Linked DNA regions of Tamandua tetradactyla. The protein of the gene in region 2 purifies or fractionates together with the protein of the main gene of each other region. This does not show direct contact. Links are inferred from orthologs where the notes say so. Each region holds a gene or a part of one and is shown on either strand. Other genes may lie near its edges.

Evidence for each region.
Region 1: the proteins of CHTOP (region 2) and ERH purify together in Homo sapiens (affinity purification with mass spectrometry; 3 studies listed by BioGRID and IntAct, with this or other methods). This does not show direct contact. The link is inferred for Tamandua tetradactyla from reciprocal best matches to the Homo sapiens genes CHTOP and ERH.

Annotation. Positions count from the first base shown.
Region 1 is NC_135338.1:27,265,157-27,277,666, forward strand, and holds the start of ERH (enhancer of rudimentary homolog), read right to left. Parts: upstream 5,323-12,510; 5' UTR 5,193-5,322; coding exon 5,190-5,192; intron 1,699-5,189; coding exon 1,611-1,698; intron 1-1,610. Other genes in the region: SLC39A9 (zinc transporter ZIP9), read left to right, coding at 6,352-6,447. UniProt on the Homo sapiens protein: May have a role in the cell cycle.
Region 2 is NC_135330.1:6,429,981-6,442,512, reverse strand, and holds the start of CHTOP (chromatin target of PRMT1 protein), read right to left. Parts: upstream 5,197-12,532; 5' UTR 4,867-5,196; intron 3,874-4,866; 5' UTR 3,857-3,873; coding exon 3,792-3,856; intron 2,447-3,791; coding exon 2,293-2,446; intron 1,702-2,292; coding exon 1,618-1,701; intron 1-1,617. Other genes in the region: S100A1 (protein S100-A1), read right to left, coding at 6,520-6,663, 7,991-8,131; S100A13 (protein S100-A13), read left to right, coding at 12,032-12,184. UniProt on the Homo sapiens protein: Plays an important role in the ligand-dependent activation of estrogen receptor target genes. May play a role in the silencing of fetal globin genes.

The DNA.
Region 1 (12,510 bases), on a different chromosome or scaffold from region 2:
GAGATGAAGAAGGAAAATGCCTCCCAGGGAGCTTCATGAAACAGGAAACCAGGAGACAAAGCTAGCAGATGACACCCTATTCGCCATGTGCCCTTCCAGCCAAGAGAGAAGCCCTGACTGTGTTCACCATGTGCCGTCTCACCTGAGAGAGAGAGAGACCCTGAACTTCATTGGCCTCCTTGAACCAAGGTATCTTTCCCTGGATGCCTTTGATTGGACATTTCTATAGACTTGTTTTAATTGGGACATTTTCTCGGCCTTAGATCTGTAAACTTACAACTCATTAAATTCTCCCTTTTAAAAGCCATTCCATTTCTGGTGTATAGCATTCCAGCAGTTAGCAAACTAGAACAAGGTCACATATTATTATTATTCCATTTATATGAAACATCCAAGACACGTAAACCCACAGAGCCAGAAAATACACTGATGGTTGCCTGGGGATTGGGGAAGGAAGAAATGGGAACTAACTGCATAAAAGAAGGCACTGGCAGACCTATTTAGTATTCTTTCTTTTGGAGAATATTTCAATGCAAGGTGAGTGTTAATGCTTGGTATGTTTGCGTAAGATGCAGATAGAAGTTAGGCTTTGCTAAAATCAGCAAAGATTAGTAAAGAGTACTGCAGAATCAAAGACTAAATACGGTAATACAGGTAAGATAACAAACTGCTAAGGCAGTTTGTGCACAATGTCTGCCTTTCTGAGAAATAAGGATGCCAGCAGAGGAATGGAACTAAAAAAAGCAACCAGAACAAGAGCCTTAGTCTCCTTTAAAAATTAGAGAATTTGGTGGCAACGAGGAAGGAAAGGTACCAGCTACCTAGAAGCTATCTCTGTATTTTTTCCCACAGGCCTACCCACTATTGGCTTAAAATACCAAATTAGTTTTGAATAATCAACAGAATCAGGAATATGCCCCACAGCAAAACAAAATGACTTAAAAATCTTTATAGGAAGAAGCAAAGAAAGGACAACTGATAAAAAGGGTGTTGGAGGGTGCACAACTGCTCTACTCAAAGTAATGATTAAGCATAAAAATAAACCCAATTTGTGGAGAACCAAGCTATGTGCTCTTGTCTAATGCTTTACTGAGCACAGAAACATTGGGAGCTAAGTTCCTTTCAGGGTGGTACTGACTTATCAAGTGTATAATAAATTCCACTGATTTAGGTTCCTTTTGTCTTTATCCTCGGAACTAATCCTTATGTTCTAACAACATTCTGATGGGCTACAGCCAAATCTCAATGGCTTAACTCTACAGTGGTTGAGTTGAACCAGACTGTACAAGGGATATCTTAAATATATTTACATATTATATAAAATAGCAAAAGGCTTTGAAAAATCATTCATTCATTTTATTTGTTTATATATACATATATGAACTTGATTAAAAAAGTAAAATAATATTTGCCAAAAAACCCTGTATAACTAACGTTTCAAATATTCAGCAAATCTAGTCCTAAATATCTATGTTCCCTGCTCAAGCTAATAGTTCATCAAATCTGGAGGAAAATACAAATCCAGTTCCTAAATGAGACATATTCTAATAGTGAATGTCAGGTAACAAAATAACAAAGATTTCTACCCCCTCAATTATTGATAAACTCACCTTCCATGCACTCATTCACTGATTCATAGTCAGCATAAGTTCTGCCTTCTGGCCTCTTGGTAGGCTGTACCAGCAAGATGGTGTGAGACTACAAGAGAAAAAATTGATTTCATATAAGCTTCTAACTCACATTTGAGAAATTCATGGTATGATATAAAAATCCCCCTTTGGCACATGATTTTTGGTTGTTAAAACATACCTAAACCAGGATGCCCACCCTGCCTTTGCCCAATGTGGTAGCAAAACCAGGATCCACATCTCCTCAAGGTCACTATATTAGTCCCCCAGGCCTTAATGACTGCTTCTTCCTCAAACTCCTATTCCATTTACAGCCTGTACTTAATCTGCATAAGCTACCTCATGGTGCTTTCTCTTCTATCTTTTCTCCCCAATTAGGTTATAAATCATGTTAGGCATTCTATCTCTATTAGTCACTTTCTATCTTCTGTCCCATTAAGTCCCTAATAAAAATTTAGGTGTAGGCTAATTAAGAGAGAAAAGGGGAAACACTATAATCATTGCAAACACTTTATCAACCCATTTTCTTTTTCCACTTCCAACAACAGTGGAGTCGCTTCTTATCCAGGGGTTAAACTCAAACATCAAGATATAAAGTAAAACTGCAATACAAAATTAATATTAATATAGTTAATGTTACTCTAGAAAACACATTAAATTATTCACTTAGCAGATAACTTGCTTTATTGGGCTATTTTTACCAAATCACAGATTTTTAAACAATAGAGTCATACAAAATGGTTAAATAATCACACTAAAATGTGCCAAAGAAAAACTGACAGATTCTTATTGCCCACCTCATGTTCATGGTGGGGGTGGGGAGCGGGGGGTGGGTGGGAGGGGGTCGAGAGAGGGCAGGCACATGCTTACTTTAGTTGGTCTATTTTAGGGATCCTCAATCTTTGCACTGTGGACATTTTGTGCTTGATGACTTTTTGTTGTGGGGATTTGTGTTGTGCATTGTATTGTAGGCAGCTTATGGGCATCCCTGGCCTCCACCTATTACATGCCACTGTCAAGTTGTGACAACCAAAAACGTCTCCAGAAATTACAGAATGTCCCTCAGCAGAGAAAACTGCACCTGGCTGAGAAAATACTGATCTATAAAATTATTACCCCACCAATTTTTGCAAGGTATGTAAGACCGGTTAATTAAATTCAAGTTATGATGCATCCACAGTAAACCCTACCTCAAACCAAACCTTTTCTTTTTCTGTACTAGTACTTTGGGGCAAAAAAATCTCATTATGAAAAGTCATTTTGAAATGATCAGAACTTTTAACGATCAACAAATTGGAGTTGAAACATCTGACACCCAGATTTTATGAGTAAGCAAATGAAAAATAGTACCTTGAAGGCAATATGTAAAGCGAAAGGTTATCATACTCTTCCCTCTTCATCAAGAACTGAGTTATTCTGATGAAAAGCTTGAGAGGGTTTAAAATCAACTTGGTATCAAAAGATGAAGAATAATTAATCTTCACTCACCTATAATGACCTGCAAACAGTCAGAACCTTTGCTAAATAATAATTAGAGTAAAAGCTAGATAAAGTATTACAGATTATTTGTTACCCAAAAGTTTTTGTAGGGCAGGCCACAGTGGCTCAGCAGGCAGTTCTTGACTGCCATGACAGAGACCTGGGTTCAATTCCCAGTGCCTGCCCATGCAAAAAAAAAAAAAAAGGTTTTTGTAAACCACCCAACCAAAAAAGGCTGTTTTAATGGCTCATTTGTTGAGAAGCTAATAACTTTATAGCAACCATATTAACATCTCTGCAACAGGGCTTGTCCTATACATTAGCTATACCAGTTGCTTCCATATTATTTTTGTTCTTGTTCTAATGCAAATTAAAGGACTAATTTATTTGAAAGGATAACACAGGAAACTGAGGGAAATGGATACAGACTATGCTGTTTTTTATATCCAGTCATAAACGTCTCTGGGCAAAAGCTTATTCTTCTCAATATAGACTGCCAAAAGACAAGGATTAAAAATTATTAAGACTATTACAGGACTAAATTCACAAAACTATCATCAAAATAGTTATTTTTAAGTGGCAGTACCTTCCTGTTACCAATTTTTTAAGATCATAATACTTCCCAAACTGGTTTTGGTCACGGTTTTCAAAATCCTTTGGATTATTTTATTAAAAATCCAAATGTAATTGTCCAAACAATTTTCCCTTCTTTGCAGATTTGGTCCTTGCCTCCTTATAGCCTTAATTCTTGGGGGAAAGATCAAGACAAAAATATAGATATCTTTTTTTCTATTTACCACAACTGAAAAAAAAAAAAAGATTGTTAAAACTCAGTCAGGAAAAACAAAACAAAAAAAGCACAATTCCAAACACAAATCTAAGAATAGTCATGTGCTATTGCAGAAATATTAAATAAACAATTTGCTCATTAGTGTCAAATGCTCCCTCCAAACTACAAAAAAAAAGAAAAAAAGAAATTGCAGCTTGCATTTCCAATAAGGCAAAAGTACTTAAAGGCTTTCAGACCAATTATCATTCACTTCAATTACTACTTCTAATTTTCAATTTTACTCAGACAGAATAAGGAAATATCACTGATATTTGCCCAACCAGATGGGTTGTTGCTATTACGTGCTGTCATTTTCTTAGATTTTAATATGAACATTTTAACAAAATAGCCAATAGTGTCATAAAGGCAGAGAAAAACCCATAAAGGTAAAATGACTTGCTCAAGGTCACACTGCTAGTTACAGCAAAACCGGGACTGTAACCCAGTCTTCTGATCAGAAAAACACAACTTAAGTCAGTACCTTGTTAACAATTACTGAATTGGCAATTACAAAACCAGCAACCAGAAAACCAAAGTTGAAGTGTGGAACTAACTCTGAGTCCTCATGATCTCTGTGAGCATCTCTTTTTTATGAACTAAAAACAAACAAAAAAACTCGATTCACTCAACTGCTATCCCGGTCGGATTCTAAGGGACCTAGGCCCTCAACTATGCCTCTCTTTTAAGCCTCCGGCTCCAAAATTATGTAAATAAGGTTAACAACAGGGACAAGAGCTGACGGAAATGTCAAATGGGCTTTCTATGGGTCTTGGAAAACAGTGTTTACAAACACAAAAAACAACATCAAAACATGTAACGCACAGGAAAACAAAAGGGAATGAGTAAGAAAAATTACAAAGCAAACACGACCCCTCTTGACCACATGCTGGGTGCAGTAAGGTGACTATGGCAGCTTCGAGAACAGGTTTGTCACACATCTCCCAGCCATTGTTCCTACTAAAGAGTTTGGAAAGAAAGCACACCATCCCTACGCCTCCCTCCAGTAAGCAACAGTCGGCAGAAAGCACATCCTCAGGCCCACGTCTCGCCTTGCAGGAGCCAGCGAGCAGGCGCGCAAATGCTTGGGCGGACCCGGGCTCCAGGGCCTAGCGCCAGGCCCAGCGTCTCTACGGCGGGAATGGGAAGAACTGCGGAGCAGCACGCTCGCGTTAGATAGGGGAGCCTGGATGATGTTTGGGGATGGGGTCACCCCGTAGACCAGAGATTCATGAAGCCGCTAAGGTCTGTCTCACCATCGCGCCAAACTCCTTCACTGCAGCCGCTGCCGACACCGCCGCACGCTAGCTGAGCCTCAACGCCGCCAACAGCCAATCCCCGCGAGAGGTGCCGCCGGAAGTCGTCAGAAGCGCAACAGAAAGAGGCTTTTGGATCATAGAGGCGCACATATTTCCGGCGGCTAGAGCAGATGCTGAATGCTTCAACCATTTTGGATAAGGGCAATTGGATGCCCGCGGAATGATTCGGAGGGCGAGAATCCTTTTTTTTTAACCAAGACGTTGCTTTCCATATTCTTGTTGTTATACGTACGGCTGGAGTGATCACCAGATAGTGCACGTGTATTCTTTCACTAGCCCTACTCAAAAATGGCGGCGGCATAGGTATCTAGGGCCACAGGTCTGTTGTAACCCGGAAGTGCCCTTCTAGAGGGGGTGGGGGGGTGAGTCAATCCGGAAGTGGATGTAATGAAGAGCTGCCACTTGGCGGCCATGGCTGCTTTAGTTTCGGCGGTTTCGGGTCAAGGCCCCGCGGAGTGGAGTAGCATGAGCAGCTCTGGGTATAGGGCAGAGACTACTTTGTATCAGCTTCGCTGCTGAATCCCTAGGACTCGTCGTTAAAGACCTGCAGGACTCCTTTCCCCATTCTAGACTTGGAGGAGAGTTTGCCGGGACTGGTGGGCTGGTCCCAGCCTTGGGAGGACCACCCGCAGGGTAGCCCCCAGGGGAAAAGGGACACCAGGAGAACGAACAGGTTCGCTTGGGTGACCCTCTTCTTCCTGCTGCCACCTGGGACGTTGTCTGTAGAGGGAGTGGCTCCGTTGTCCAATCTTTTTCCGACGATTGAAGACGTCTCTCGTTCGCACGTTTTCCGATTGACTTTTCCATCTCCAACGGTTCACCCACGGGAATCCAGTCACTGGCATCTAGGGGTCCAGGGACTGGGACTAAAGATTGCTGAAAGTTCTCTCTGGTGCTAATATCCGCAAAAGGGTTTGCAGGCACGTTCAAGAAAAAGGTTCCTCGAGAACACATCTGCTGGTGGGGAGGCCGAAAGAACTGGAAAGTCTACCTGTTCTCTTGGAACCACTACACGTGTTTAACATTTTAAGCATCTTTTGAAGTCACTGAAAATTTGTGGTTTTGTGGTGGTGGTGGATTTTGAATAAAGGAGGGCAGAATGGATGATTTCCTCTCCATTAGTCTACTGTCTGCGGCTATGTTGGTGGGATGTTACGTGGCTGGAATCATTCCCTTGGCTGTTAATTTCTCAGAGGTAAGATATTTTCAATTTTCTGTCAGCTGTCAGGAGGGCTGCTGGAAAGTGGAAACAGTTGTGAAGGGAAGCTACTTCCCAAGTTAACCTCAGAGCTGAAGATCTCATTAAGGAAGGACTCTCCTTTAAAAAGACATCACATTTAAAACAATAGGAACAAACCTCATATTCAGCATCAAGGGCCTGGGTATTTTGAACTCCCTGAAATTGTCTACAAAAATTTGGGGCCCTGCATTTTCATGGAGAGAGGCACTATAACATTCTTTTAATTCCAGGAAGTTCCCAGGAATCAAGGTTCCAGATTACTATCAAGAAAGATAAATAGAAAATGTTATTCGTCCATGAGTTGAAATAAATGTGATAACTTATCTTTTTGAGAAGGTCGAGCATATGTTTCTTGGGGATATCTATAAAGAACGAATGTAAGGGGGAAAAAATACTGGTTATTGTTAAACCAATTTTCCTTTTAAAGGAGATCACTGAAGTAGATATTCTAAAGTTTTCAAATCTTTGCTTAGAAATGAATTTTTTGCTAATATGTTTTGACATTTTGGTTTAATTGGCAGTTTGTCTTTTCTTGAGCAAATATTCACAACAGAGAGGGGCAAAGGTTGGATGAAAGCTTTGTTCAATGTAGATACAGATAGGTTCATTATTTAGAGGACTGTCAGATTCAGAGAGAACTGGATTTCATGAATCTTTCTTGGAGCTCTGGAGTAAAATGGTAAAATTGCCCCTAGTTTCACTTCCAGCCCTGAAAGTGTTATTGGAGGAAAGGGGACAATTGTATGGCCTGAAGTAGAAAGTAAAGATACAGATGAGGTGTGAGGAAGGATTTGAAGAAACCTGAGGGAAGAGGAGGCTTGGCAGGTGAAGGAAATAGTCTGTGGGTAGGAAAGATGGGACTATGTGTTTCCTACGCTACTATGGGTAGGGAAGATGGGACTGTAAAGCCCATAACCAAATGGAAGGAAGGCTTGAATTGCTGTTTCTCCTCTTCTGTTTCCCGTTTTATCCGCACTCCTCACTATCTAATGATGATAATGAGCTAACATTTTTTGAGCATGGACGTTAGCTGACTTCATTTTAAGAACTCAGTACAGATGAGGAAACAGGCTCTGACAGATTATATCATTTGAACAAGTTCATGCTGTGTGTTAGAATCAGAGCTGTTTTCTGCAGTTGTGTAGAGCTGAGTAGCGGCTGATTGTCGTGGTTTACCATGGCCTGTGAAGCCTGTTTCACTTATTTGGGTGACCTGCTTGTCCTGTACTTTGGTGACCTGCTATCTTGTATCAGACTTAAACCATATTTTCTTATAATTCTTCTAAAACTGTATTAGAAAAAAAAAACTATGTTAGAATTGAATTGACACTATTAGGGCTGGCATTTGTGGGGTGGTTTGTATATTTAAAAACTTACTAAGGGGGAGTGCAAGGGTAGTTCAGTAGTAAAATTCTCGCGTGCCATGCAGGAGACGGTGTTCGATTCCCGGCCTGTGCACTTAAAAAAAAAAATCATGGTGCTGCAATAACAGGATACCATATGGAAAAAGAATGAAATGTGACCCCAACCATACAGCATAAAAGAAAAAAAACTTATTGACGTAACATTTGTCAGGAATTATAACTAATTCAAATAAGCAAACAATAAAACATTTTTTCTATAAAATGTTTAGAACTTTTCCAAATTCAACATTTTTCTCAAATAATCTTAAATTATTATAGTAATGTGCAAGTATTTGCAAGTTTATTTTTTGCTGAAAGGAAATGTCTGTGTGAGTGGTGTTTTTAATCACGCATCGATAAAAATATTTAATATGCCATGTCATTTGTAGCTTTTGAAGTTGATGGTCAAATAGTTGCCCAGCAATAGGTCTTAAAATGTTATAAATCAGCATTCATAATGTCTTTATGTTTATATCAGTATCAATGCATTTTGAGCTGTTAGAATAAAACTGCAAGATATACATAGCTTAAAGAATTTTAGAATTCAACTGGTTTTCTGTCTCCTAGAAACGAAATATTTTTAAAAGACAAATTATACTATTATTGTAGACCAGTGTATCATGAAACTAATGAAGTGATAAATTTGAAAAATAAAGTTCATTCATGGGGGACTGGAAAGCAGAAGATAGCTCCCCCAAAAAATAGCACATAGCTTCCCAAACTCCTAAATTGGCTAAATTACTTTTCCTCTTTAAGAAGTCTTGCTTTTCTTAGAGACTAACATTTTTATAAATAAAAAGAGCAAGTCAACCTAATTTATTAGGTTCACTTTTAATTCCCTGAAAAGGTAAGCTTTTCATTCGTTTTCTTTATCTTGCTACTGCTTTGCCATTCATTACTTTTTTCTTCAGAATTTCTCAGAGCGGGAATAAAGGCCAGATGATCGATAAAACCATTAATTATGGCAGAGTTAGTATTCAGAAATGCGTTAAAATCAAACAGTCTGAAATTGTGTTAGCAGTGGTGCATACTTCCCACTCTGACCATTAGGAGGTTTATGTGGCACTGATTTCTCTTATCACTTTCTCCAACATTCCTCACCCCCTCAGCCACCTTTCTTAATACTTTTGTGACCTTCTTTCTTGCCTCTTGATGCAAGGATCAAGGATCTTGATGATCCTAGTGACTGTACCTTCATGCCTAGATAATTTATAAAATGAAGAAAACAATCTCTTATTCTCAAATACAGCTGTAAAGAACTCTGATTATCAAGATGTTCTCTTCTTCACGGGGAAGGAGAAAAACAAAACTTGTAAAGGAGGCCAAGATGTGCTTTATGCAAATGAGGTCCTATCTGTTAAAGGAGTTAGACTCACCATTTAAGCATTATCTTTTGTTTTTTAAGATTCATTTAATGAGCACTTTGGCTCAAAATAACATGCCACATAAGAAGGTTGAGATTCTGCAAGTTAAGATTAACTAGTATAAACCCAGTTAGCAGCTGCTCTGGATGATGAATGAAATTGAGATTTAAACTAATATACAAAGTGGGATTTTAGATGGATTATTTTAGGATTATTGTCTACCTCAGCATGTCTCCACCTTGTCATAGAGCTGATGACAGAGAGTAAGCTGTGTTTCACCAGAACTCCAGAGCAGTGCTCATCAGACGACCTGGGGAAGGACCAGTTTTTGTTTAATTTCCATTTCATTGCAGACAAATACATTTGTAAAATATCATCAAAGTGAAATAGGAAAATGAAGTGGGGGAAAAAAAAGACATTCACAGTGCAGGCCTAAGTGTGTCGTTCTGACAGCTTTTTCTCGTTTCTGTATTTTTTTTTGTTGAAGACCAGTTTGCATAGCATACTCTTGAGTTATACAATGGCACATTTTTCATATGTTAAAACAGTAATTAAACTATAGAGTTAACTATAGTTATGCAAATGAACTAGTGCTACTCTTACTCCAATAAAGAATTTAGGATAATTAATAATGCACTAATTTCAAAAGGAAATGTCTCAGACAGTGTAGTTCAAAGTCAGTGTGACTACTGAGCTAGTTAATTTCCATGTCTTTTCTGGTGTGAGGATAAAATATAAGCAAGGAGCTTAGAGAACTATGTCTATAGAACAAAATAATAGCTTTAGAAAAATTTGGGGGTTCTCAATGCTGATTAAAAAAGATAGTAAGAGTTTCATTTTTATAACTCTGTTCTGATTTGTAATTTTTAAAACTTTTATTTTGTAACAGACTTGTAATAACTGATGTCTCCCCATTTCCCACCATTTATTAAACCTATCTCTGCAACTTGTTTGGAATCTGAAAGGTGTTGATGGGGGTTGGCACTCTTATTCCACTTGGAGAGGCCAGGGGTTTTCCTCCAACCTCCCTGCTTCATAGTATTTTTTTTAGCATTTAACTTTCTTTTCTTCATTGTACTCTTTCTCATTTGGAGTTGTGTTTTGTTCTTTCATGTTTTAAAGTTTTATTTTGTGTCTGATTATAATAACTGGTGCATTCCTAAGTGTCTGTGGGGCTTGGAGTTGACACCAAATCAAAGGCTTATTGTGCTGAACAACAAATTCGTTCAGTAAACCTTTTCTCCAACAAGCTGTTCTGTTTGAAGTAGGTTTAACAGAGTTGCATTTTACAGACTTTTGCATTTGTCCGGCATAGTAACATTTTATTCTCTTATGGTTGTACAATAAGTTTTTTTTTGTCAATTTAGAATTTAATTTTTAAATTATGACATTTTAAACTTTGCATTCTCTGTAATTTGTCCAAATCTGAAAAGCAATCAATAACTTAGTCTTTCCCAAAATTTAAATTACAGATTATTGTCTAATAAAGATCTTTGCCTCATGAACCTAAATTTGAATCAAATAAAATGGATACAATCTGATTCGGTATTACTTTCCTGAAAAATCCTCTTTCCTCCAGCATAATATAAGGATAAGCATTATGGAAACTGCATACTAATTTTAAAGATAGTTAATATTTATTGTACCAGGCACTGATGTGCATTATCTCATTTAATTCTCAAGACAAGACTATCAGATAGATACTGTTAAACTTCACTTTACAAATGAGCAAACTAAGGCTTGAAGAAGCTTCAAACTTTGGTAGAGATGACATTTGAAACTGTAAGTGTAACTGTGTAAGTCAGTTTGAATCCCTGCCAGAGCACTTAAGATGACATTGCCTTTCCTAATGAACACAGTGTAAATAAGAAATGAAAATATGATGGCACCTTTAGCTCCTCAAATTAGAAACACCTTTAACATTTCTGACATTTTACCGTGGTGAATCTTATGCCTTATGCTTAGTTTGTGTAGCAGAATTTGAAACTCCAGAGGTCAACCATCTCCAAATACCATCAAAATTTACAGGAAGCATTGAATGTCTCAGGTGACTTTTAAATTAACACGTGCCAAATTGGAATTGGGCCTCTTCTTTAAGCACTCTGTCTCCTTCCTAGGCTAGTTACTGCTACTTATATCTGCTATTCCTATATTCTTTAAAATTCTTTTTTATTAGCTAATTCCTCATTACCCAATCCCCTGTTAGATTACTCTTTATATTAAACCTTCCCTATTCAAATTACTTGTCACTTTTCTTTCCTGTTTGGACCCTGACTTACACAGCAGGAAATAGGTCATAAAATCAAATGTCTACTGAGGCGGAACAGTCATCAGACCTAGGATAAAATAAAGCAGTCCAAGTGTCCTGATATGTGGCTGCTGAGTTTCAGCGTCATCACCTGGGAGACGTTAGGAAAGGGTGAAAACTGGTACACTGAAGAGTGTATGCCATTTGATAGTACCAGCCCTGGTGTTGCCAAATCTTCTGTTTTTCAGAAGCTGGAAATCTGGATTTTTATGTGAACTCTCCCAGATTTTACATTTTGGCTACTAATTCAAATATTATTACATTGCCATGGGGGAAAATGACCCATGTTTGTGAGTTGTCAGTTTAGAATTTATGGGCTAGGTGATCTGATTTCTAAACCCTCTGCAGACTAGAAACAGCAAATCAGAAGGGGTGGGGAGCAAGTGGAGAAAATAAGTCACAACATGCCAGCAAGGGAGGAGACTGCAAAACATTTCAAATGTTTACAAAACCTCAAAGTACAGTTGTTTAGGGTTGTTTAATACAATAGCAAACTCCTCTTTGCTCACATTAAGGCTATTGACAGTACAGTGATAACAGCTATAATGCCAACTTATGTGTCAGGTTCTGTGATGATTTTTTTTTTTTTTTTTTTTTTAAAGAGAGAGGAAGGAAAGGAAGGAAAGACAGAGAAGGAAGGAAGGGAGGAAGAAAGGGAAACATTTTTAAACATTTTCTTGTTTTTTATTATATTTTGTTTGTTTGTTTTTTGTTTTTTACATGGGCTGGGGCCGGGAATCGAACCGGGGTCCTCCGGCACGGCAGGCAAGCACTCTTGCCCGCTGAGCCACCGCGGCCCACCCCTGTGATGATTTTAATAGTAGTATTGAAAGGGAAGAATTCTTGTCCTGTTCATAGATGAGGAAACTGAGCCTTAAAGTTTATTAAAGTCCAAACACATTGTATTATATAGCCTAGCCTCTAATTAAATTAACAAAACTTT
Region 2 (12,532 bases):
AACCTGCTGTGGGTGACAGAAGTATCCCAAACCAGAAGCAAGCTTTTACCTCAGAACATGGGTATAAAAGAAGCAGAACTCTGATCCAGAGCAGAAACTCTAAGAAGCGTGAGTATGGTCCCATGAAATCGGCATCACCACAAATTATCTAGTTTGGCTACAGAAGTCACACACCACCACCTGGCACTTCAGTTTTAATAAGTTCATGTAAGCTTAACACTAGTTCAAATCCTGGATTCCGCTATTTTTGAACCACAGGTTGACCATGATATGATTTGATTCATACCTGCCCAAGGGCTACACTGTCTCCAAAGGCTTACTCAAACACCATAGGAAGGCCATCACACTCGAGGCAAAATTTAAATTACAAGTTCATTTGAGTTCTTGTGATTTAAGAACAAGACTGATTTCTCAAAGAGGCCAAAGTGCTCCACTTTCCCTCTGAGCATCTATCTCCAGACAGTCTACTTTTTACCTTAAGGTGTAAATAAACACAAAAAAGTCAAACTTTCTTTTCTTACATTTCATAAACATCCAGAGTTCCATGTCTATCTTTGCAAACAACTCCAATAAGCCAGCATAATGTCCTTTAGTTCAAAATAAACATGTAACTCAAATACATCTTCACGGAGAGCCAGCCAAAACTCATGTTAGCATCAAGACGGGGTCTATAATCACAAAACTTCAGGGCAACATCGGAAGACAAGCATAACTGGAGAGACAGAGATTTTCAATGATCTGTCCCTCAGAAAAAAACTTATAAAGACCTATCTTAAGAAAGTTAAATTTCCTCAAAGGAAAAGGGGACAATACTGCCTTGAATAAAACCAAGGCCTCAGTAAACCTGACTTTCTCTAATGCAATCAGCATTAATGAAGAGATCCTAAGTGTCCTCAGGTTTCAACTCAACTGACTACCAACGTTTTTTTTTTCTTCCATCAAATCCTCAAAAAAGATGCTGTAAGGCACAATTAACTTACTAGCACAAGATCTTAAATAGTTTTCAATGTGTATCTACCAACAGGCAGACAGCAGGTGTAACCAATGATAATGGCCTGTTCACATTATTCCCGGGACAGCACACAATTATGAGGTCAGGACTTCATCTCAAAAGTTCGTTGTGTTGCTGAGTGCTGTGCTTAGAGAAGGTAAAAGGAGAACCATGCAGTGCTTAGGAGCTCTCCCTTCTCAATCCTGAGGTGGCACCAATACTGGTCTCAAACACTGACAGAAAGCTTAAAGAAGCCAACTATACTAACCAGATTGCACTCTAGAGCTGTGTCGTATCATAATATAGCTATTAGCCACATGTGGCTATTTATATTTCAAAAGAAATAAAAATTTAAAAACCCAGTTCCGTAACAGCACTAGTTACATTTTGAGGGCTTAACTTTCAGTAATTTTTAATATTTACTCCTGGAAAATTGTGGTGCCTTTTACTGCTTTCCTAGGTCGGAGACAGATCCGGTCACTCCAAAGGCTTATGGTAGCCAAAATGGAAAGCTTCGTTTATTTTTGATCAGTGAGCCCAATAGTTCAGGGTGGGGTAAGAGGGTTGTTATATTTAACTGCTGAATTTATGCACAGCCATGCAGCGCTACCAGTTAAAGTCCTTACAGTTGCATGGCACCGCCCTCCAGACGCCCAGCCACAGCTTGGACAAATCCTTCCACAGCCACTGTCCGGACTTGCATATAAGGTCTATGAATAATAAAGAGGAGGTTTTATTTTAGGTCTGAATAGGATTATCTTTTACTGGAAATTTGAAAGAGAACCCACTAACTCTTAAATTACTATCCTACTGATAAAACCTTAGGTGCTGTGGAGACAAGGGTCATGCAACTCTCCATATTTTAGCACTGGAAAGCTTTGACTAAGACCTTTCAGCCATCCTACACTAAAAGATAAAAAATAATAAAATTACTTCCCTAATTGAAAACCATTTAACAGGGAGTGAAGAAATTACAGAAAGCAGATTTCTTTGTGGAAAAAAGGGTGCATTATACTTTAAGGGTAAAGGATCGGAAAACAAAAAAGATTAACACTCATCGATAATCCAGAAATAGGCCACACTGATGATAAACTCCCCAAAAGAGAAAGACAATATATTAAAAAAAGTTACTTATCAGTACCTGCCAAAATTGAAATTCTCTGAACTTCTCTTTCCTCCAGAGAAGGTTTAGCTTTTGCCCTGAGCCACCACGTAACCAACCATCACATCCTGACAGCCTCAGTGGACTGCCTGACGGAGATCACCAGCTGCTTCTGGAGTATTAAAACCCATTCTCTCACCTGCTTCAGTTTTAATGCTGCCTGGACAGAGGGTCTATTCTCCATCTGCTGGGCCAGTCTTCTGTTTCTGGCACTGGCTAGCTGCTGTTGTTGCTGCATCGAAGCCCGAATATTCACTGGCATCGGTTGTTTGTTCTTCAGCATATTAGTAAAGCTTCAAGGTCGAACAAAATGGATGTTTAAATAAAAGCTTTATTATAAAACATTTATTGGCATTTTCATGGCTTGCTAGATCAGGAGCTCCAGATCCCACGAACTTTTAAGTAAAGTGGTACACTTAGATCAAGGCTGATGTGGGTTAAAGACTCCTCTGTTTCCACAAACTTGCAAGAATCAGAAACTGAGAAATGCAGCTAAGTGCGGCACATTCAATCAAAAGTGATAACAAGGGCTCAGGTAACGGCTTTTAGAGAGGTGGAAAATATGAAAAACACGCAATAAGCAGATACGATGACAAGAGACAGAAAATGTAGTTTCAAAGACAAATGAAGAAAACCAAAACCTTGGAAGACCCGAGGGTGCATTCTAAGGGCAAATATGAAGAAGGATTAGAGTACCTTCAAAGCCATACTAATGGGATATACAAACACCCACATGCATTTTAGGAATATATCACATTTTTCTATATTTATTCACTTAGTTGCATGTGAACATGGATAATTAATTATAGTACTGTACCCTAAAAGACAGAAGCACATATGTTTCAGAAAAGCAAAAACATATATTAAATAAATCTTAGTGGTCTATCATCAACTTAATAAAATGACCAAAGGCACTCAATGAATAAAGCTCCTCAAGATAGAAACTGCCTTTACACACCTTTTCTCAGTTTTGAATGATCACCTTTTCTGGCTCCATATGATTACTTCTGATAAAGTTATATTAAGTGACATTAGCTGAATCATTTAGGAGCCTGTGAAGACACTTCTCTATTACTCCTGTCAAGGTAAGTTTAATGAAATGGAAGAGAACACGTAATGTTTACAGAATACAAAACAAAAACAAATTAAAAGCAGAATGGAAAGAAAGTGAAATGGAGCAAAGCAAGTGCCTCTTACAAGGTCCAAGAACAACATTCAAGGGCCTTTGGACAGATTCACGGCTTGCTACCTGCCTCTTACAGGCCAAACACAACACTGCTGGCCTTGGACTGGGCAACAAGCCAACTGCAGCCAGGGTACCATGCTACCACGCTGCACCACCCCTGTATCAATGTAAAAAAAAATGTGAAGAAAAGGGAGGGTGTGAGGAGTCCTTTTCAAATACATCCCACCAGATAAATGTTTCAGACAGCTTAACATAAAAAGCTACTGATAAGGGGTTTTGAAACAACCGCCCAATTTGTTTTGTGTACCACATAAGATGCAACTAGGAACAGAGGTCTGTAGCCTTCTGTTGGTATCTAGTTAGTTTAAAACCGGTTTTTGTGCATTGGACCCCAGGGCCAATTTAACAATGTTTTCTTATGAACGCGCTGAAGTTGCTGTTGGCTGCCTCACCGCTCATTTAGAGACATCTTGGTGGTGCTTTTTAGCACAACTTTCGGTGCTGATTGTGCAGCCATCTTCAAATCCCGAGAATCTACAAAGGACAATAGACAGAATGAGCAGAAAAGCAGAATGGCCATTTCTACAAGGGCCAAGGCCCACACCAACAATGAATTAAAAGATTTGTATCACTGACAATTGTTATCATGATGAGCATATCAAAACTCACTTCAGGTGCTTACCTTTGTAAGACTGTTACCTCAAACTATAAAAACTTCACTGCTACAGAACAGAAAGTATCTGCCAAGTCTCCAAAGATGGCAGAGCCAGAGAGCACTAAATAAGTGCTAATTTTGGCTTTCAGTCTAGAGTAGTCATTCTTAATCTTGACTGCATGTGACTTACCCTGGGAGTCAAAAAGAAAAAAACAAACAAAAAAACACCGAAGTCTGGTCCCAGACCAATTAAACTACCACCTTCTAAGGTTTGGATCTGGGGATTAGCAATAGTTTTTTTTTTGTTGTTTGCTTTTTTGTTTTTTTTAAAAAAGCTACCTGGGTGCTCCTATATGCAGCCAAAGTTGAGAATTACTGATCTAGAGGGAAGATACAAGCATGACCATGAGTGGTTTCAATACTGACTTTCGACTCCAAAACTTGCAGCGAGCTTAACAGGGAACTAGGAACCTAAGGGAAGGACGAGAAAAGGTTTCCTAAATGGGCATTCACCAGGAAGTTAGCTCCCAGAGAGCCCTCCACAGTATTTAACCCTAAAGTCATCATTCCAACATTCCCCAAAGCCCCGTAGTCCTCATTTCACCTCCCTACCATCTCAAAGTCCCGTCAAGGCCGCCAACTTTGTTCAAGACGCTAAGTTTCCTTTCTTCCACTACTGTATCCCAAACTTCTCCATCAAACCCCACCAGTTTCCAGTTCCGCCCCTCCCCCGCTTCCTCCTCCGGGCCTCCGCCCCCTCCCTGGGCCTCCACGCTCCAACATGGCAACCTAACTTCTCCCACACCCCACTACCCCATTCCGCGCCCGCCAGCTCGGCCCGCTCCCCAACACTTTTCCCCTCTTCTTCTCACCGCAGAAACGCACCGAAGGAAACGGACGCCAGTGCTCCTCCCGGGGCGGCCACCACGGCTAGGCAGGCAGGCCGGAGACCGGCCGAACCCGAGTTGACGGCGGGGGAGCTCGGGTTAACTTGGTGGGCGGTTGATTAGATACGAAGGCGGTAGGTTGCTAGGTTAGCTCGTGGTTGTCCTCGGCTGTTTGGCCGGCCGGTCTCTGTGCTCACCCGGCCTGCCCTTTCCTTCCTTTCGTCCGTGCTACCACAGCTGCCACCAACTCCCGCTCGGTGTCCAAAACAAAATGGCCGCCACGCCCGGTGCGGAGTGGGGCCGGCTAAAATGGCGTCGACGCCATTACATCAGACGTCAGATCCGCGCACAACCGGGGGGCGGGGAAACGTTTGTGGTACGCCCGCGCGGGGGCCAGGGGTGGGGCTCGAGGGAGAAGGTGGGGTTTTGCCGAGGCACGTTTGCGTAACTACGCCGCGCTCGGACGGCGAGGGGGCGTGGCTAGCGGACCCGGGATCGGGGCGGACGGGTGTTCTGGCCCGTGGCGTCAGGACTTAGCACCGTACTCTCCCTGGGTCGTGGCTAGTCACGGACGCTGAGAGGGGCTTGTGCCCCGATGAAAAATGAAACTTGTGTTCTGTCGCCCTTTCCCCAGTTAAGGCAGACCATCTAAAAGTCTTTACTGGAGATTCTCCCCGGTTTTTTTCCCCCGGACCCCCGGACCCGGGGCGTTTACTGTTTTTTCCTTTATCCTCATAAGCCCGGTTCAGCGTTGAGAAGTGCCGCCAGCCGGGGCCGCGGAGGCCGCTTTAGGACACACACATCCCCGTCCGTATTTTCCTCTCCACTTCTTTCCCTCCCGCAGTTGGTCTGAGTGCTGTTTAAGCCTTACTGGGGAGGAGGGGAGACGTTTGTGTCCCTTCCGCGCCCTCCTTCCCCCTTGCCTTCCGGACCTCCCATCCCTAGACCTGTGGGGTTTTCCCTGTGGTTTGGTCCATAACAAAGTGCTCCTATGTTTGAGGAATGAGGGAATGAACTCATCCTGAATCTCTTCCTTTACCCCGTATGCACTCATGAGGAGCCATTTATTTTCCTTCCTAGAACGTGGCTTTGTGTGTGTTTAGTAGTCTAAACACACACACGTTTTAGACTTTACATGGCCCAAGTCCAGTAAGGACAGGAATTGTGTCTTGTTCACTGCTCTATCCCCGGTTCCTTCAGAACACCAGCTTAGGGTTTTCAGTAAATATTCTTGAGTGTTGAGGGAGAGATTCTTCTGGCTCTATAGCTTAGAAGCTTCCAGCTGGAAAGTTGAAACCCCACGTTCATGGGCCTTGAGCATTTCTCAAGTAGGACTGTATATGCCCCCCCCTCCCCCCAGTAAGACACCTCCCGGCGGCGTAAGGCCTCTCCCCAAATTAGGCAAATTGGAAGTAAGCAGCTCTCCAACATTTGGGCTACAGAAGAGGCAGACAGTGGGTGGCTGGCCAAAGAAGAGCCTTTAATGTAAGTGCACTTGCAGGCCTGGCCCACTACTCTTGTGCCCTTGATGGGGATGGGAGGAGCGTGGGGAGGGGAAAGGGGGTGGGAGGTAAGCCGGATCAAAGGGCAGATCTGCCAGGGTGGAGGGGAAGGGCGCTGCCCACTGGGGGTGTCTGCTCAACTGTTCTCCCAGAAGAAGTTGTTACAAGCCACGGTGAGGGCGGCCACCAGCACCACGTACTCCTGGAAGTCCACTTCTCCGTCTCCGTTCTCATCCAGTTCCTTCATCACCTTGTCCACCGCGTCCGCATCCTTCTGGGCCTGGGTGGGGGAGAAGGGGAGAGGGGGAGAGGCGGTGGCACGGCGAGTCCAGCGTGCCTGACGCTGAGTTAGGAGCAAGGAGGGTCGTTGATTGAGAAGGAGGCAGAACTACATCGAATGGGACTCCTGTGCTCCCCTCCTCAAAACCCCAATACCCATGGGCTCCTGTTGCCCACAGGATGAGCTCCTCCACAGCGCGGAGTAACGATGGTCACAGCTGTGACCATCCTCGGAGTGCCTTCAATGTGCCAAGCTCCACAGGCATTGTCTAATTCCTCACAAAAATAGATTTTTTTATGAGAGGTAGATTTCATTATTCCCAGTTTAGAGAAGAAACGAATTGACAGTCAGTGGTTAAGCAAGCTGCCAAAGTCACACAGCTTGAAAGTGATAGGGTCAGAATGCAAATCTGGGTCTATAAATAAATAAAAATAAAGTGTCTGTGTACTTCCTACTGTATCCTGAAGGTTCTCTTTTACCGTAGGGCCCCCGTTTGCTTTTGTGGCCTAATTTTGTGCATCCTTCACTCCAGTCAAATTAAACTTAGCATGCTCCACCTTCTTTTCTTCTCTCATGTTTTTATTCATGCTGATACTGCCTCCTAAAATGTCTTCATTTACCCCAATAACCTGCCAGTGGAAATCCATGGCTCAAGTGGCATGTCCTTGGAAAAGCCATCCCACTGTAATCAGGTTAATGTTCTCCCATCCCCTTGCAGGTACCTCTAAGAGCTCTTTGTACTTCCGGCCTTGTTATTGATGAATCTATACACAGCCTTCACTTAACAGGTGATCAAGAAACCAGGGCATTTTTGTTGTTTTTAAAAAATATTTTCGGTGATGAATCTTAGCACACATACATTCCACACATGTACAATCAGTGGCTCACAATATCATCACATAGCTGGGTATCCATCACCATGATCGATTTTTAGAACATTTGCATCTCTCCAGAAAATGGAATAAAAAGAGAAAAGAAAAACTCATACATACCATACTCCTTACTCTTCCCTCTCATTGACCACTAGTATTTCCAACTGCCTGATTTATTTTAACCTTTGTCCCCCCCAATTATTTGTTTATTTTGTATCCGTATTTTTTACTCCTCTATCCATATGCTAGATAAAAGGCGCATCAGATGCAAGTAAACCAGGGCATTTTGAGTTGCACCAGGAAGAGTAGGGGGGCCTGGAAAAAATTCAGGAGAGGTCTAGGAGAGCAGGGAGAAGGCTGGGCTGAGTGGGGGTGGGGTGGGGCGGGACTGGAGATGACAGGAGCGTGTCCACCCCATTCTGCCCACTTGCCCATCCCACCCTCTGCCCACTCACGTCCAGGAAGCCGGAGAGCTCGGTCTGCAGCAGCTCTTTCAGCTCCTTCTTGCTCAGCTTGTACTTGTCCCCCTCCTTGCCGGAATGGGTGTGGAACACGTTGATGAGGGTCTCCATGGCCGTCTCCAGCTCAGAGCCCATTGCGGCAGCTCACCTGTTCACCCCCACACACAAGCACACACGCCATGGAAGTGAGTGGGGGACCAGACCCAGGGCATCCGGGGTTGGGGTGGCGGGGAGGAATCTTGGTCTCAAGCCTGGCTCTACCCCACAGTCCGAACCCTCACGAGATGGGAGCCCCACAGCAATTCACCCTTCACTGAGATATTATAATAGGGAAAACTCAGGCAGAACTAAATCCAGTCCTGCTCTTTGGGTCCGTTAATCCATATTCCAGCCAGACAGGGTTTGGGGCATTGGAGAGAGAGTGACTGGGCTGGCTCTAGAGGCCTGAGGAGGGTGGGGCAGGCAGAAGTGGTCACAGGGCCTGGCCAGGCTGCCTCTGAATCTATTTTTACCCTGCGCCTCATTTGCCCGCATAGCCGGGCTCTGTGTGCTATTGGGGACAGTGAGCTGGGGTCCTTTCCATGGTCTTGACTCTGTGGCCCACCATTAGCAAGGAGTCAGTGTGCTATTCTTGGTGAGCCTGAATGGAGGGGAGACAGTCGGAGTGAGTGGCCTAAGACTCCTTGGGGGGTTTTCACAGCCATTAAGCTATCTGTCAGCAGCTTGGGGGCTCCTTTTGGTCCCTCAACTTTGTTCTTTCCAGAACACGTCATTTTGGCTTCCCTGAGGTAGGCCTCTCATTGCCTCTGGTTCAGCTCCTCTTGCATCTCTGCAGAATCAGCCTTTCCCTTGGAGGAATGGTGGGAACGGACAGGAATGTCTGAGGCTTATCCCTGGAGCCAGGGCTCCCAGGGAGGGGGAGGGGAGACCTGTAGGGCCTTGTCTCCCCAGGCCTAGCCTGGTTGATGTGGGGACAGTGAGAGAAGGGGGAATGGGGCCGGTGTGTATTGGGGAAGATAAAGACTCAATTCCTGAGGTCCTTTGAGGGGCTGGGAGGGAGAAGAAGAATGGAGAGGACTGCTGAGGCTGGAGAGGGGAGACCGTCAAGCCAGTGGGTCTCTTTCCTTTGTCTCTGGGGCTGTCAGCCCCTCCCCAGTCTCAGGGGGCAGCTCAGATGTCTCAGATCAGATGTCCCCATCCTTCCCGGGGTGGGGGGCTGAACAATGGGCCCTGATCGTATGACATCCCAACTCTTCAATGGGGCCCTTGTGAGTGTCACCTGAACTCCGGACATGAGAAGCATTTGTCACAGAGACAGAGGAGAGATGGAATCCAAGCTGGGGCTGATGGAGAGGATAAGGGGGCGTGTGAGGGAAGGTGCTGGTGGCTCGGTTTCCAGCCTCATCCAGGAGGGGCACCTGGAGCCCTCGAGAAGGCTGGGGTTTTGTGCTGGGGAGTTCTGAAAGGAGCTCTTCGGCAGTGTGGGGGTGGGGGTGGGTATGGGCAAACAAAGAGAACAGAGAAAGAGGAGTCTGGATTTCTAGGCCAAGAGAGGGGAGGAGGAGAAAGAGGAGGCCATGTGGGGATGGAATTGGAAGTGGGTACAATATCCTTGTACCCCTTCTTCCTGGTATCACATGACCACACCCTGCCACCTCCAGACTTCCCTGGGACCTGAGCTCTTGGCAGGGTGGGCAGAGGTGGCAGAGACTGAGGCTGGGGCCAGAAGCAGTGGGTCTATCTGTTCTCTTGTTCTAACCCAGTGGAAGCACAGGGAGGGCTGGGTGCCCACCTCGGTTCCTGGGAGATTGAGGGAGAGCTGGCAGGGGACTCGAGGGCTCCTTGGTGGGGGCCTGTGGCCTGGGGCTCAGGGGCAGGCACCTCATTGGTTTCCTTGCCTGCCATGCTCCCACATCTCTCTTGACCTTTACCTGCCTCTCCTTACCACCTTCCAAAACCTATCTCCCCCGAACCCCACCTTGTTGCCATCCTGATGAACTCCTCCTGGACCCTCAGTCTGCCACAATGTCCTTGTCCCCAGAGCCTTGGAGCCCCTCTGAAGCCCCCTATCCCCCAGTTGGCCTGGGCCGGGACCTGGCTCGGTGGGGCAGGGTACTCACGGTCAGCTCCGGCTGCAGATGACAGCAGGTTCTGGACAGCCAGGCCAGGCTGCTAATGTGGCTTCAGAGCTGTGTGGGGAGACCTGTCTTCAGTCGTCCTTACCCCGCTGCCCCCCCCGCGGCTCCACCCCCTCACGGACACCCAGTAGGGCAAGGGGCCAGGAGTGGACAGAGGCGCCCTCTGTGTTCCAGGCTGGAACAGGCCACCCTGTGTTCTCTTCCCCAGCCATGTTCTGCTCCCCTTCTCCCTCGCTGGGCACCAGCATGCGGGCACACAGGAGGAGGGGAGGTGGGGAAGGCAGGTCTGGGGGGGACCCTGGGGCGCCTCACCCGCGCTGGGCAGTGGAGCCCCTGCCACGGCTGAGCCCTGCTGTTCAGCGAGGACCACTCTGAGGGCCTCGGAGCCCAGGTCTCCTCCACGCGGACCCCTGAGGACCCTCAGTGAGTAAGTTAGTTTTAGGGCATCTCCCTGGGGTTCAGGCTGTGATCCCTCTGAGAGATTCAATGCGGGGACTCTTCCTTGGGGATGTCAGTCTGGACCTCTTTCTTTGTGGGGTTTCATTCTGAGGGGGCATTTGTGGTGTTTCTCTGATGGGGCGTCTCTGGGCTCCCGATTGGAGGGCAGGGGTGGGTGGGGGTGGGCGGGGGGTGATTAGCGCGCTCCCAGGTGTTGGGACGGTCGGGTCCCCGCTGGGCGGGGTCTGTCCAGGCAGCTCGGGGAGCCCCAAGTGGGGGCGGGGCGGGCGGGGCGGGGGGGGGCGCGTCCCCGACGGGGGGGGGCTCGGGGGCGGGGCCTCCGGGCCGGGGGCGGGGCGGGGCGGCACCCGCCAGAAAACCCGCGGAGGAAACTCGCCCCGCGGGGCTTGCGAGCCGCTGGCTCCTCCCTCCCCAGACGCCTATAAACCTCAGCCCCGAGGCTCCTGCTCGTTGCACCCCATCTCCTAGCCCTGGTGAGTCGCATCCCCCTTCCTCTCCGGAGAACCTGGGCACCCTCTTTCCTCCCCGGGGCTCCAGCTCCCTCCCCCGGAGGCATCTCCGACGGGGATCCCGGAAGTGGCTTGGAGAGAGCAAGCAGCAGTCTGTGCAGGGATGGGTGGCGGGTGTGGACGGATGGGCGCATGAGGGGTGACCGGGCACGTGCCCTTGCTTCAGTCCGAGCCCCCTCCCCGGGGCTGTGGGTGTCCACACCCTCCCCTCCCAGGCCCTCTGTGGGCGCGAGGGCCAGCACAGTCCTGCCCAGGCCCCCTGCAGCTGGAGACGGGTGCGGGGGGGGGGGGGGGGGCCGCGGGGGCCTGGGCTCAGCCCTCTGTGCAGCCGCCCCAGCACCTGTGCCTGAGGGGAGGCGGGCGGGGACTAGGGAGGAGACAGCCTGAGCCGCCCTGGCTGCAGCTGGGCACCGGCCAGACCCTGGGCTCCTCTTCTGGGAAGAGTGGTCAGGGTGCGGGGGCGGAGCGCTGCGGGTGCACGCCCGGGTCTGAACACAAACACGTTTCGGAGACAAACAACCTTATGACCCTCTGCGGCTGGCCGGGTGAGAGACTTCAGGAAGCGGCTCTTGGACAACCCCCCGAGGGACTGCTCCACAAAGGGGTGCCCAGATGAGAGCTGCCTCTACCGAGGGGCCTCCAGACTGACAACAGACATAAACACTTAAAAAAGGATCCCCAGACTGTGCGGCCTCTCAAGGAAGGGGTTCTGGAAATGAAAACCCACCTCCCCACCTCCTACATTGAGATACTGCTACCGGGCCCCCTGGCCCCTTCTCCCTTCCCAGGCAGATTCCTGAGGTGGCCGTGCCAGGGCAGGGAGCGCTCTGGCCTGGTCCTAGGTCCCAGGCTCCCTGACTCTCCCTTCTGTGCCTTCCCCATCCCACAGGTCAGCCCCTGGAGGGCGGCAGCTCCAGCCCAGCGCCCCAATGGCGGCCGAACCGCTGACTGAGCTGGAGGCTGCCATCGAGACGGTTGTCACCACCTTCTTCACCTTTGCAGGGCGGGAGGGCCGGAAGGGCAGCCTCAGCGCCCAGGAGTTTAAGGAACTGGCCACTGAGCAGTTGCCTCACCTGCTCAAGGTAGGCCAGGGTCTGCAGGCCTGAGAGTACCTAAGGCCCTGCGCGTGTGAGCTGATTCGTGTGACGACAGGTGTGAATGGGGAGAAGGGTGTGGGTGGCTCCGTGTGTACATGGTGCTGGGTTTTCGTCTGGCGTGTGCCGTGTGCCTGTGTGTGTGGTTAGGTAAGCAAGGAATACTGTGTCCGTGCAAGCGGGAGTGTGCGGTGGACGCTGTGCTCCACCCCCCCATGCCTGTTGGGTTTCTGTGTTCTGCCTGCGCAGCTCTGCTGCTGCCCAGCACAGAGCGGGCTTCCAGAAGGTTCAGACACCAGGCAGAATTAGAAGAAAAGCCAAGAGAGGAAACATGGC